2 linked regions of the Tamandua tetradactyla genome follow. The protein of the gene in region 1 interacts with the protein of each later gene in a pairwise test. Links are inferred from orthologs where the notes say so. Each region holds a gene or a part of one and is shown on either strand. Other genes may lie near its edges.

The links.
Region 2: the proteins of HOMER3 (region 1) and FRYL interact in binary tests that used the Homo sapiens proteins (3 or more experiments, as listed by UniProt). The two-hybrid records come from large-scale screens. The link is inferred for Tamandua tetradactyla from reciprocal best matches to the Homo sapiens genes HOMER3 and FRYL.

What each region holds. Positions count from the first base shown.
Region 1 is NC_135337.1:95,885,271-95,892,805, reverse strand, and holds the start of HOMER3 (homer protein homolog 3), read right to left. Parts: upstream 3,171-7,535; 5' UTR 458-3,170; exon of another isoform or gene 1-457. UniProt on the Homo sapiens protein: Postsynaptic density scaffolding protein. Binds and cross-links cytoplasmic regions of GRM1, GRM5, ITPR1, DNM3, RYR1, RYR2, SHANK1 and SHANK3.
Region 2 is NC_135345.1:51,598,987-51,606,409, forward strand, and holds the start of FRYL (protein furry homolog-like), read right to left. Parts: upstream 3,362-7,423; 5' UTR 3,093-3,361; intron 1-3,092. UniProt on the Homo sapiens protein: Plays a key role in maintaining the integrity of polarized cell extensions during morphogenesis, regulates the actin cytoskeleton and plays a key role in patterning sensory neuron dendritic fields by promoting avoidance between homologous dendrites as well as by limiting dendritic branching.

The DNA.
Region 1 (7,535 bases):
GAGAACAGGGTGTGCAGACCCTGACACTCTCTGAGCCTCAGTTTCCCCCTCCAGGCAGAGGTTGTGAGGCTCGGGCAGCCGCCGTTCATGCTGGGCCCTTGGCCTTGGGTGCCCGGGAGAGCAGCCTGCCCTCGCCTCTCCCACTTACCTTCTGCGGCCTGAAGGGAGCAGCTGGGGAAGAGACAGCCAGGGGTGGGGAGGGAGGCACGGAGGGGCGCGGGGGCTGGGTTCCCAACGGGTGGGGCCCACACAGGCCACGGGGCACCAACTGTTCTCCCGGGAGGGAGCTGGGCCTGGGTGACTCAGCCGCTGCCGCCTGCTCCCTCGGTCTGTGGAAGGGAGGATTCACCGCCCCCCCGGCACCCCCCCCAGGAGCCCCTGTCATCGGCTCCGGCACCTTCCGTGGCCCCTCGGGATCAGCCGAACCACCCGGCCTGGCCTCAGAGCCTTTGCTCACCACCGCACATGGGTCTGGAAGGCAGCTTCCCCCAGGTAAAGGTCAGCCAGAGGCAACGCTGGGCCTGGAACCGGGTGTGGGAGGCCACGGCCCCCTGCTCCCGCGGCCTCTGGAGTCTTGTTTCCCTGGAGGAGCAGGGAGCTTTTACCTGGCTGGAGGCAGAGCTGCTGCCATCTGGGCTCAGACTCAAGGATTCCCACTGGCCCTTCCCCACGAATGCACAGGGGGCCTCCCTGAGCCTCTGTTTCTTCCTCTGTAAAAAAGGGGCCTGTTGGTTCATTGTACTCGTGTTTACTACCCTGTCCCAGGCGACAGCAAATGAACACGGGAGCGATGCAAAGACTTCTGGGGGCATTCTGTGAAGGAAAGGACAGGGGATGGGGGAGGGGGGGCAGGGAAAAACGAGGGTGGCTGGGGACGGGGTGGGTCCCAGGGAAAGGCACCGAGGAGGCCCGAGCAGCCGGAGCAGGGAGAGTCAAGGGTGAGGGGCTCTGGGAGCTGGACCCAGCGAGGGGTGTGTGCTCAGAGAACTGGGGAGCCACAGGAGGCGTCTGAGCAGGGCAGGGGCATGATCTGAGTTGGCACTTGGAGGTGAGTCTCTGGCTGCTGCGTGTGATTTGGCGCCAACCTGGGTTTTTTGCAGAGGCTGTGAAAGCTGGGCTGGCTCAGACGCTCCATGCAAGGTACATCGTCCTTCCGCTGGGCCCTGAGCTCTGGCTCCCACCCCCGGGCCTCCACCCCCCGCCCTTCCTCCCCTCGGAGGCCCTGGGCCCTGCTCCTTTATCTCTGAAATTCCAAGCCTGGCGTGGGACGGAAACAGCTGCTTCCAGGGAAATCACAGGCCCCCAGCGCCAGGGAGGGGCCCCGAGGGAAGGGGGAGGAGGAAGTCCTCAGGCGCCGTACGTGTGGGGAAACGCCCGGGGGGAGGGCCTGGGTTCAAATCCTACTGCTTTGCGCTCCGCCAGGAGGTTCCCGGCAGCTGACAGACCCCTGCTCAGGCCCAGGACCATGGCTTGGCGACGGGAGATGCAGGGTCCCCTGCTAAACTTGACTGGGAGCTTCAGCCAGGCCTGGGCCTGGGGGGGAAAACGAGGCTGGGGGTGGGGCAGGAGCAGAGGGCCCACCACCAGAGAAGGAGTGCAGGGTACTGCGTGGGTGGGCTCAGCCTGGGGCCTGTGCATCCCTGCTAAATCTTGAGGAACCCAGAACCTAGGCTGGCAGAATTCCAGGAACTGAGGTCCCTGCTCCCCAGAGCTCTTCAATTCTGTGTTATAGCAAAACCCTAAAGAAAAGGGGACCAAGGGGAGGGAGGCCAGAAAGGGGAAGGCCAGCCCGTCCTCATGACCTGGGGATCCCCCAGCTTCCATTTCCAGCCTGGGCCGAGCTCTTGGGGTGTCCCTATCATTCTGGAGGTGCCCTCCACTGGTAAGGAGCAAGCTGGGGAGAGGAGGAGCTGTAGGTCCTCTCAAACCCTGTTCAGGGGTGTGGGGGCCCTGGTCTTTCTCAGGGGGCCTGGGCAATTGGGCACGTGACCCCAAACCAGGCACCAGGCCTAGAGGGGGAGGAACGGGGTGGGGTACGAGCCAATGTGCAGGGCTTGGGGAGCAGTGGGCCACCCCGTCTTCCTGGGGGGCTCCCAGAGCTGAGCCAGGGATGGCCCCTGAGACAGGTAGGCGCCCTCACTGTGCCCCCACGCCTTCCTCCAAGGGGCGCCCAGCTCCTGGGGGTCCCTATGCCACAGGAGACCCTGGCTGTGGAACAGGGGTGCCACCAAGTAGGGGGCACAGGCCCTGGGCAGCCCTCGGGGGAGGCTCGACTGGGGAGGGGGCTGTGACAGACAGTGCCGAAGCTGCCCCCGCTGGGAGTTCTGGACGGGCCTCTCTGGGGGGCCAGCAGAGGAGGAGTTAGGGGGTACTGGGGTTGAGGAACAAACCCCACCTTGTCACTCCCTGGCTCCTTGGTCCACCCAACTCACCCCCCACCCATCCACCCATCTGTCCATCCAATAATCCGCCCTCCCCCCTATTCACACATCCACCCACTCTTCCACTCAGCCAGCCATCATCCACCCACCCCTACCATGCACCCCCCCCATCCACACATACCCCCACCCATGGACATGTAGTACCCAAGCTTTGGGGTTCCTGCCGTGAGCTCTGCAGCCCTCGGCAGCCTGCTCACTCCCCTTGTTCCCCTGCCCAGCAATACCGGCTTTCCTGAGCACCCCCGCATGGGAGAAGCCACCCCACTTCAGGGCCTTTGCACAGGCTGCTCTGCCCCAACCTGAGCCCATGGCCAGGCCCCCTGCGCCTCAGCTCAAGTACCACCACCCTGGCCAAGCGGCCCCAGTCTCCGGGCAATGGGGGAAAGCTGGGTGCCGGGCAGCCCTCCTTTCTAAGATCCAGTCTCTACCTCCTGCCGCCCAGGAGGGCCCCAGAAGACAGCATGGATGCATCCCTGCACAGTCCCGGAACTGAGGATGCCTCCTGACGAGCCGCTGTAGGGAGAGAACCCGTTCGTTCACACGCGTGTGTGCGGGAAAACAAAACAGGACACCACGTTCCATGTCAGGGAGCCACGCTAGAGAAGTAAAATGATAGGTGAATAAATGGGAGCATGGCCCACTAGAGTGGCTCAAGGTCAGCCCTGCTCCAGGGAAAAGGTCGAGAAGGGACAGAAGGATGACTGAGGTGGCAATTCCAGAGGGCGGCTGCCCTGGGGCGGCAGCCCTGGCTGCGGAGGCCGAGGGGCTGGGGGGGCAGGAGGCCGAGGGGCTGGGGGGGCAGGAGGCCGGGGGGCTGGAGGGCAGGAGGCCGGGGGGCTTGGGGGGGCAGGAGGCCGGGGGGCTGGGGGGCAGGAGGCCGGGGGGCTGGAGGGCAGGAGGCCGGGGGGCTTGGGGGGGCAGGAAGCCGGGGGGCTGGGGGGCAGGAGGACGGGGGGCTGGGGGGGCAGGAGGCCGGGGGGCTGGGGGGCAGGAGGCCAGGGGGCTGGAGGGCAGGAGGCCGGGGGGCTGGGGGGGCAGGAGGCCGGGGGGCTGGGGGGTAGGAGGCCGGGGGGCTGGGGGGCAGGAGGCCGGGGGGCTGGGGGGCAGGAGGCCGGGCCGGCACGGAGCCGCGGGAGGGGCCGCACGGGAGCCAGGACCAGGAGGTCGGCCGGGCCGCGTTCCCTGGGCGCCACCCTCACCGGCACAGACCCGGGACCACCCCCCACCCCCCACGCACCCGCACCCCCTCACCCGCCCCCATTCCCCGTGCTCCAGGCGCCTCCACCCCACCACCCCCAGCGCAGCCCAGCCAGTCTCTCCTGCACCCTCCGACCCTGCCTCCCCTCCCTCCCCTCCTTGTGCGCTGCAGGCTGACGCCAGCGCATAAAGGCTGGGCTCTGACCCCCACCTAGGCCCCCCCCCCCCCACCCCCCACCCCCCACAGAGTTCCAGCCTCATTCACCCACCCTGAGCTTGGCGCGGCCGTTCGCGGCGCTCCCAGACCCGCGCATGCGCACGGGCCGCTTCACGTCACAGCTCCGGGAACCGCACTCTACGCGGGTCCTACAATTGCACATGCGCACAGCCCGCATCACGTCACTCATTTCTGGGAGACACACGGTACACAGGCCTAGAACCGCGCATGCGCACGGCACTCCGCCTCACACAACTCTTGAGAAAGGGCCGACCTGTCCAGCGGGTCACAGCTGCCCCCAATCCATGAAGGCCTGACCTGCGGCTGCAGCTCTCCGCATGCGCACAAGGGGACCCGCGCCCACCAGGGTTATGCCCCCAGACCCGGGCACCCGCCCAGCTCCATCCTTCCTGGGTGCTGGGCGCCGTGTTCACAGGCATTGGTGTAACGTCCCCAGCCTGCTCCCACACCTTCCCTGAAACAGATCCCTGCACTGAGGGCGCCACCTGCGCCCTGCTCCCTGCTGTGCAGCTGTCCTGCACACACAGGGCCTTAGACTCCTGAAAAATCAACCCCCAGAGTATATCAGTCAAGACATCTACATGCAACGGGGACAGCCAAAGACCACCAAGCATATCACAGTGCAGACAGATGCAGCCCCATCTGATGACCAAAGTGAAACACCAGAGGAGATGCAGAGGCTGCAACAACTAACCAAGGATGCTCACACAACTCTCCCTAATAAATAAAATAAGTGGGACAGCAAATGACATAAAGGAGCTCAAGAAGATGGTAGAAGAGCATAAAGAGGAATTTGAAAGAATAAACAGAAAAATAGCAGGGATTAAAGACTCTGTTGACCAAATAAAAAACAGCAGAGGCATGCAACACCAGATGTGAAGAGATGGAAGAAAGGGTAAGGGATGTAGAGGACAGGATAACTGACTTCGAAGACTCAAAACAGCAAATAGCAAAAAAGATGGAAAAAAATGAATGGGAACTCAGGGAGATGATAGACATAACAAAGCACAAAAATAAAAGCTCCAAAGAAAGGGAATAGATAGGATGGAAGGTGGTTCTCAAGGGGGTCTAGAAGTGATATTACCATATTGAAGATGAACAAGATTGAAAGGGGTTGTATAGACCTACGTGTCCCACTGACTCACACTGGAAATATGAATCAGTTCTCGTAACAATTACTTCAAAGATATGATTCTTGTACAAAGCGTATTTAAGTCCAGGGTATGGGGGAAAACTGCTCTTGCATGCTATGAGCTATGTTCAAAAGGAAACCATCAGCACTACCACAGCATCAGCAGAGGTAAATAATGGGGGAAGGGGACAAGAGTTAAGAGGAGGTTTAGATTTCCTATTTGGTGAGGGTGTATTTATTGGTTTTCTTTCTCTTGGGAACAATGAAATTATCTAAATTTGAGAATGTGGATGAACTGTGGACTCTGAACCCTCTACATGATGCCCGATGAATGCAGGTGGCTGAAGGATGCACTGACGGAGAAGTAGGTTGGCAAACTATGATATATACTTATGAATGAAGGCTGTGCTGCTACAAAAAGAAACAACGTCGTGAGGCATGCAGTGATGTGAATGAACATGTGGGACGTTTGGTGAGACAAAGTAAACCAGAAACAAAAGAACAACAATGGAATGGTCACCTTAAGAAAATGCCTGTAAGAAAACAGGGACCTAGACTGCAAGCTTTTAGAGCAGACACATTAAGTCCAGAGTGGTGATTGTTATTTCTGAATTTCAAGAGGCTATTTTATATACATAACCTGATATTTATAAAAAAGAACAATGCTGAAAAGGTTGGGGTTAAAGTAATTCAGAACACGGGGGTAAGGAAGACAGTGTTTATATTTTAGAACAACACATGCTCTTTGAGACCAATGGAAGAAAGATTTATTTGATCTGGAACTAAACTTTTTGGTAGTGCATAATCTAATTCAACCTATCTGTATAGCTCATGTGAACATTTGAAACATAGAAAGCACATAATAAGGAAGAGGTCCTTTAATTCTGTATAGATTATTGTAATGCCTGGAAACATCTTACAGTAAATTGAGCAGATGATCAGAAAGTATTGGGAAAGTTCCCTGAGGGAGAGGAGAAAGACTATGGAACTATTAAACCTTACCATCAGGGAATCCCCTGATACTGTGTCAAACATTAGGGACACCCAGATCAATAGGCCATGCCCCTGATCATGAGGCTCACTCTTTTTTTCTTTTTTAACTTTTTTTATTAATTAAAAAAATTAACAAACAAAACATTAAGATATCATTCCATTCTATATATACAATCAGTAATTCTTAATATCATCACATAGTTGCATATTCATCATTTCTTAGAACATTTGCATCGATTTAGAAAAAGAAATAAAAAGACAACAGAAGAGAATTAAATGAGGCTCACTCTTGTGAAGCTTTTGTAGGTAGCGGAGAAGCTTAGATTACCTATAGGATGCCTAAGAGTTCCTTCTGGAGGACCTCTGTTGCTGCTCAGATGTGGCCTCAGTCTCTCTAAGCCCAACTCTGCAAGTGAAATCAGTGCCCTCCCCCTAAGTGGGACACGACATCCAGGGGTGAACGTCTCCCTGGCAGCATGGGAGATGACTCCCAGGGATGAATCCAGACCTGGCACCATGGGATCAACAATTCCATCCTGACCAAAAGGGGGAAGAAGTGTAATTAATAAAGTATCAGTGGCAGAGAGAGTTCAAATAGAGTTGAGCAGCTACTCTGGAGGTTGCTCTTACACAAGCTTCAGGTAGACCTTGCTACCTGTCATAACCTGCCAACCCCCAACCAGGACCATTCCAGTCAATCTTAAAGAACACCTGGGGCAATATATAAGATTCCACAAGGGTTCCAGGCACTAGAGTAATTTTCCAGAAACCTACAACCTCCAGATGAGTCCCCATCCGGATAAGTCCTGAAACCTAGTCCAGCCTCTCCAGAACATCAGATAGTTCCATCTCCCTACCCCATGTTAGCGACAGCCCCTTCCAATATCAAAAATTTAGAATGGCCATAGCCCAAACAACCCTAAAGAGAGGGATGGAAAGATGAAAGGTGATGGTGGATTTATACAGAGAAGATAGGATTTAACAAATGAATATGATTGCTGAATCATTAAATTGCTATCTCTTTTGGTCTGCAGTATTTTGAAGGAGCTGGAAGTAAAAATCTGAAATTGTGAAACTGTAACCCATGTCAAACTCTGAAATATGTTCTACAACTAATTGTGGTGCTGTGCTTTGAAATTTATAGCTTTTTTGTATATATGTTATTGTTCACAAAAAAAAAAGAAGAAGAAAAAAAAGCTGATTGTGATGATAAAAAAGTATTTAAGCCCTCTAGCTTTCTATATTCTGGAGCAGCTAGAAGGAAAAACATGAGAGGATTGTGTGGTAGCCCATGACAAACTCTGGGATCTGTCCTGTAATCACTTTTTGAAGAGTGTCTTGAAAACTATTGCTTTTTATTTCTTTGCTTTGTGTATATGTTATACTATACAATAAAAGAGTTTTAAAAAATCCCTTAAAAAAAAAAGTCGTGAGTGTGTGGTTAAATGGAACTAGAAGAAGGCACTACCTTGGGGGTAGATGAAATGAAAGCTACCAAAAAGGGAGGAGAGATTTCTGAATATGACTGGCTGAC
Region 2 (7,423 bases), on another chromosome or scaffold:
CAAACTTTTATGTACAAGAGACAGTTTAAGTCAGTTCTATCTGAAGGTGAAAAAAGGAAAAAAAAAAACTAGAAAAAGAAACACCAAACGATTAACAATAGTTACAATATGACAAGGGCAGTGTTATAGGACACTAATTTCTAAATTATGCAATTCTTTCAGGTAAACTTTTTACAGTGAAGTTTTGGTGAAAAGGAAAAAAACATTTTATTTCTTCCTTTAACACATAAATTTAAACTTCTTTATAGTTAATAGTTTTTAAGGGCACATGCATGGTCTTTTTCCTCTAGATAACAATTTTGCATCTTCCTGTTAAACTGTACCAGTCTGAGAGCAATGACTGCCATCCACTTCTACTTTATCTTCCCACAATATTCCTTAAATAAATGGGTACTCAAAAGATTTTGTTGACAGATTAAACTTAGTTCTAATAAAACTGTCACAATAAGCAATCACCATCACAAAAGATTTTTGTGGAAGAGATACAATAAACAGTTAAATCACAAATTTGTACACAGAACAAAGAGCATCTAGATTAATATATCTCCTCCCAGACAGTGAACTAATTGCTATTCTTTCGTGTAACTTGTTCAGAGAGATATTTAAGAGAATAAATACCTCTCTGAACAAGGAGCTTTTGTAGAAGACTACCTTTTTATAACACAAATGTAAAACCTGAAACAACACATTTATTGGGTATGAGAAAGGTACTCAGTGACAAGTGAATCAGGAGAGAAATAGACAGTTCACAACTCAAGAAATGTCTTGACAATGTACACATTTTTAAAAAAAAAAAAAGTGTACAAAACAATGTGAAAAGCACACAGAATAAAATGTCATCCAGGAAACATAGTCTAGATATTTCACAGATAATTCTCCCTGAATGTTTTCTGTAACACTATCATATGTACTGTTGTAAAGGTTTAGTAATTCTCTCCTCTGTTATTTAAATAAGCTGGTAAATTAGCAAGCAAAGATAAAAAGTTGTAAACTTGTTTTCAACTTCTACTTTGTATAATGAGTTGGACAGGAAGATTGTGCTTGGGAACTCACCCAACATCCTTATCACAAAAAAAGAATTTAAGAAAAGGAATATCAGGTGTAACAATGCAAGATACTATGAAGATTACTACAAAAGGTCATGTTTTTGTGTATCTGCATTTCTTGAATTCTGTGAAGCTAAAATATATTTCAAACATGTATCTGAAATTAGTTATCAGTTTCCTTAGTTTCATCTTTGTCATTACTGATGAGCCTAACAACTTAAATTATGAGAATGTGCCATACCACTCTGAAAGTTACTAGACAGTGAGTTAATCAATGAACACTTTATGAAGTTGTTAGTATTGCTTTAAAAAAACTTATTTGAAAACACTGGCCAGGTGTTCCAACAAAATCCATTCTTCTAGAGAAGTAATCATACAAAATAACTCACAGAGAAGGAAAGGACAAAGTGGAATGCTGCTTTTGATAATGAGTAGCAAACAAAAGACTGCAGAATAACATACCCATTGCTACTTCGTTTGCAAGGCTGTATCTTGTATATGTAAGTACTGTACAAAGTATTGCACAAGAAGAAACTGTCAAAAGTGAATGATTACAAAAACATTCCTTTTCTAAATAAGGTCTCTAACCAAGTGATGTGCTATTCTAAATATTTCTATAGCAAGTACTGACAGGTATGGTACAGTATAATGTCCAAGATGAAAAACCTCATACTTGTTTTATCAATAGTAAAAGCTGCAATTACGAATTATAATGCCTAGGAATTCAGCAGCAGAAATTAACTTTATAGGAGATATCTGCTAGCAGAACATCATTTTACAAAGCCAAATTTTTTTTCCATCAAGTCTTTTTTTCCTAATCCTACTGAGCGTAGCAACCTGTTTCTTTTAATCCTCGCCTTCAAAAAGAACCTCCGCTAGTGAAACCAGGTAATATTTTCACAGTTCAAAGGTTAAGTAAGGCAAATACGGCCCTACCTAGAACTCTGGTCCCCCACAAATACCTCCCCTTTTTTTCTTTTCACATTAGCTTGGTTTGGGAGAGGTTAATGATTCCATATAATGGCAAATCCACAAAAGGTGCGATTTTAAGGGGCTAGTAACGAAAACTGAGATGGTAGAGTAGATTGACAGCAATCACAAACCATTTCGCCCTAAAATGAGTCCCTCCAGAAATGAAGGACACGAAACTATAACCCCAAAAACCTGCTGCCCGGAAGCAACAACTTCCATCAAAAGACAGAGAAAAGTTGCAGGAGCTCAGCGTCCAGGCAGCCTGCGCGGGTGCTGAGATGAGAGCAGCCAAGACAGGCCGGTCAGGCCGGCAGCTGTGGCTTGGGTGTCCGTCTTGACCAATCCTGGCTTGATAAGGTCCGGGGGTGCGCGGCCGGGCCCGAAGCGACGCGGATACAGCGACCTCGCCTGCACCCCTCCCTACGGCCGCGAACAGTGGGCGGAGACCAGAGCAAAGGAAAGGGGGGACAAAGCCGAACCGGCGACTCCGCGCGCTCCACCGGCCCCCACCGCCCCTTCCAGCCTGGGCTACTGGCCACCGCGCTAAATTTGCTCTTCAACCCTCCTCTCAGGGTCCCGGCACAGAAGCTGTGGCCCCCAACCTCCCTCCGTCTCTCCGCCGCCGCCTGCTTCCAGGAGAGGCGGTTCCCGCGAATCCGCGAGAAGGCGGAGAGAGCAAAGAGAGCGCCGAGCTGGAGGCGGCCGGCGCGGGAGGGGAACCGGGTGCGCGAGGAGAGGCGGGCGCGCCAGGGGAAGGGGGCGCGCGAGGGAAAGGAAGCGCGCGAGGGGCGCGCTGCGCTGCCTGCGAACCCGCCGTCGCTCCGGTGGGTTATCGGTTGAGGCGGGGGTGCGCCGCCGACCCGTATCCGTTCTGAGTCTCGGCCCCAGGCAGCATGGCCCGCCAGCCACCCTAGCCCGCCTCCCTCTCAGCTTCCACAAGAAGGGCAGCCGCCCGAGGGCCGGCGACCTCGACTCCTGCAGGGGCTGCGGACGCCGGCCGGCGAGCATCCCAGCGCCTGCCCCAGGGCTGGAAGAGAAAGTGAAATGAAGCGCCTTTCCCCAGGCAACACCTACCGGTCCCCAGTCCAAGTGCAGCTGCCTCGCTCCTCAGGCGCCGCCGGTCCCCGCCCTTGGGCCGCCTAGGCTCCGATCTCTTGACAATGGCGCGTCCCCTTTAAGGAATAATCCGATCGGAACCGATCTGTGGTTAAACCTCCCTCGGACTCAGATTTTAACCGGATTTCTCCCTCTCTCTTTCTCTCTCCCTCTCCCTCTCCCTCTCTCTCTCTCCCTCTCTCTCTCTCTCCCTCTCTCCCAGAACCCGACGGCCGCCCGGCGGTGCAGCGAGATCTTCCCACCTCTTCTCCGCCCCGCCCACCCCTCGCCTTCCTGATTGGCGGGAATGACTACACCAGGAACAGCAACCCTTGTCCTCGACTGGCCAGTCTAGATGCCGCTCAGAATTATCCCCACCCCTCCCTCTCCCCCTTTACCGGGTTGGTCCTACCGCTAATCATTCTCTGTCCTCTCCTCCATCGTTGCTTAGAAAAACTGGCAGTCAAGGCTTGCCCTCCCGCCTCCGGAAAGCGAACTTTATTTTTATTGGTGAAAGGGCATCTTCCTGTGCACCTGATTGGGCGAGGCAGAAGTAGACTGCACGCCCCTTATCCTTTACTGCTCTCCCTTGACGGGTTTGAGAAATACAGACGCAAAGTCCCCCTTACTTTGCCTTGTTTTCAGAGTCTTCCCCTTTAAATGTTGGTAGGGGTCGTGGACAAAGTCACAGCCTGTGTCGGGGAAAGCCGGAAAGGGAGAAGAGAAAAATTCAAAATGTTCTCCAAACGAACGATGTATCGGAGCTGGCATTGGGATCCTACGGAACCTCATCCCTTGGTCTAATGAATGGAGTGTTTAGATTTAGTTAGAATACCTGAAATTCTAGTACTAATTCCTCTTGGCATCATTTCTTCAAGTTTTTACTCACTATCCACTATACTCATAGCGTTTATTCCACTGGCATTTCGCCACTCTATAGAGCTTTAAGGTTTCTGCAAAACTGGAGGTTTCCTTGCGTGTCTCGCAATCGTTCATCTAAAAAAAATCATTTAAAACCTTTCCATTAGAAGTACCACGTAAGTCACGTCCTGTGTGTCGCCCCGGAGTTTGTCACGATACCTAAACTTTTTTGAAAAGATTAAATGAATGGTTCCCCCTAAAGCCTACGGTAGCCCAGATGGAGCCCAGTCCTGCGCAAGACTACTCCTTAAGGGATAGTGACTCCTCTCAGGAGCTTCTCCCTAGGGAGAAAGGTAGCCTGGCACCAGAAGCTTGACCCTGAAGCAAAACCTCACCCATGAAAAGACAGGAGAAATTCTGCGGACAGACTGATGGGTTCTACCATTGAGTTTTCCACTGGAGCTGTGAGAACCGAAAAGAATTGTTTCTACCAAAATTTCCAAGACAGTGGGGTACAGTTACTACTTTGGTACCCAGCAAAGAATATTAGAGGAAAGGATTGTGTGTCCTCTCCCTCTTTTGCTACTGAACTTTGAGAGACTTTGAACTCAGGGATTTTAGTGCATACCCCCACCGTAACCCAGTGGTACCCAGAAAGTGGGAGTGCCCAAAAGTACCCCTGCTGGGGAGACTAGTGGTAAGACAGGGCTAAATAAACATTGAAAGTCCACCGAACGTTTTCATGAGCTCAGGTGAAAAATCTCGTGTGGATGCCCATAAATATCGAACAACAGGAATGAGAAAAGGGAATGGTGTAGGTGTTACATTAACTATTGGGTTCAAAAGATGAGGAAATCAGGATTATATGGGCTTCACAAATATAAATTACCTACGACGTGCCTAAAACTAAACCCCTATTTTCAGCCTTCTGGGTTTTGTTCTTGTTTTTTTTTATTTTTATTGACAAATCTTCACACACACATTCCATACATGGTGTACAATCAGTGTCTTATAATACTATCACACAGTTGTATATTCATCACCATGATCATTTTTTATAACATTCGCATCACTCCAAAAAAAAAAAAAAGCTCATACCATACCCCTTACCCGCCCCCCCCCCCGCTCATTGACCACTAGTATTTCCAACTATACAATTTATTTTACCCCTTATCCCTTCTATTTATTTTATCCATATTTTTTTACTCATCTTTCCATAACCTGGATAAAAGGAGCATCAGACACTTTCACAATTGCACAGTCACATTGTAAAAGTTGTCGTATACAGTCGTATTCAAAAATCAAGCCTACTAGATGCCCTGATAAAACCCAGAGTGATTTGAACACTCTGCAATGCATTTTATTTGCAAAGTCCCCTTCGGGGAATGGTGAGAAAGGGGGAAAATTCAACTTCCCCAAGCTGAATTCTTGATATTCTCACAAGCAGTGTGGACAACCAAAGCTATAGGCTGAGCCCCCAATCGTGGGGTTTGTTCATATGAAACTTAACCCCACAAAGGATAGGTCAAGTCTACATAAAATTAGGTCGAACAGTCACCCCCAAAAGCACCTCTTTTGTTGCTCAGATGTGGCCTCTCTCTCCAGCCAACATGACAAGCAAACTCACTGCCCTCCCCTGTCTGCATGGGACACGACTCCCAGGGGTGTGGACCTTCCTGGCAAAGTGGGACAGAAATCCTAGAATGAGCTGAGACTCAGCATCAAGGAGTTAAGAAAAAGCTAGAATGAGCTCAGACTCGGCATCAAGGGATTGAGAGAACCTTCTGGACCCAAAGCGGCAAGAGCGAAATGAAACAAATAGTGTCAATGGCTGAGAGATTCCAAACAGAGTTGAGAGGTTATCCTGGAGGTTATTCTTATGCATTAAGTAGATATCACCTTGTTAGTCAAGATGTAATGGAGAGGCTGGAGGGAATTGTCTGAAAATGTAGAGCTGTGTTCCAGTAGCCATGTTTCCTGAAGATGATTGCATAATGATAAAGCTTTCACAATGTAACTGTGTGATTGTGAAAACCTTGTATCTGATGCCCCTTTTATCCACCTTATCAACAGACAAGTAAAACATGGAATAAAAAAAAATAATAGGGGGAACAAATGTTAAAATAAACTTAGATTGAAATGCTAGTGATCAATGAAAGGGAGGGGTAATGGTATGTATGAATTTTTTTTCTGTTGTCTTATTTCTTTTTCTAAATTGATGTAAATGTTCTAGGAAATGATCATGATGATGAATATGCAACTATGTGATGATATTGTGAATTACTGATTATATATGTAGAATGGAATGATCATATGTTAAGAATGTGTTTTTTTATTGTCATATTTTTTTTATTTTAATTAATAAAAAATAAAAAAATAAAGGCTACTGGACACAGCTCAATACTTTCATTTTCTAGCCACTCCAATACACTATAAACTAACCTCTCACTTCTGTTTGAAATTTCTCAGCCACTGAAACTTTATTTTATTTCTCTCTCCCCACTTTTAGTCAAGAAGGCTTTCTCAATCCCTTGATGCTGGATCTTAGCTCATCCCAGGAGTTCTGTCCCATCTTGTCAGGGAGATTTACACCCCTGGCAGTTATGTCTCAAGTAATGGGAGGGCAGTGAGTTCACCTGCCGAGTTCGCTTAGAGAGAGACAGCCTTCCATTTTGTACTACAAACAAGATGCAGTAGATACTTCTGATTTTCTGCCAACTACTGTCAATCTTTGAGATTGCTTTTGAGTTCTAATATTCTACATGAGAATATAATCTATCTTCTAATATCTAGTATCATATTAAGACGGACACCCAGTATTTCTGGTATGTGCACACCTGCCAGTTTTGTTCAAGTTCTAGGTGATGTTTCCAAGTTATTTCTAAAACACCTACTTTATGATACCCAGCCTGTTATTGTCATTTTGTTACACTAGCAAACTTGGTTCATAATTTCAGAAAGCAGTCCACAGTAATAACTGAGATCATCACCTTACAAGTAAAATTTATGTTTTTTTCCTCAATATTTCACACTTGCGCACAATAGGATCATTTATCACTTTTTAGCCAATATGCCTAGTCTCCTGATGAACTAGAAGAATAATTTAGAAAATTCACTAGGCTGTACATTACAATGTACAGGTCATTCTTAAGAATGCTTATTGTTAAGCCCAAAGTCCCACCCTGGAGAACGTTACAATTTGTGCTTTCCCATGCAAATGGACAGTATCTCCCTATCTTTGTTATCCACCTCTAAGCCAGATCCCCATTCTTTAAAAAGAAACATTTCCCTAATGTGCCAATATGACTAAAGCTCTCTAAAAGCCTTTTATGTAGATCTTTGTTAGACTTTTAAAGGGTGAAATACATTATAATCACTTATTCTCTCTGTTTGTATACAAAACTACCCCCCTTAAAGACCTAGCAGAGTTTAGATAGTAATTATTTTTC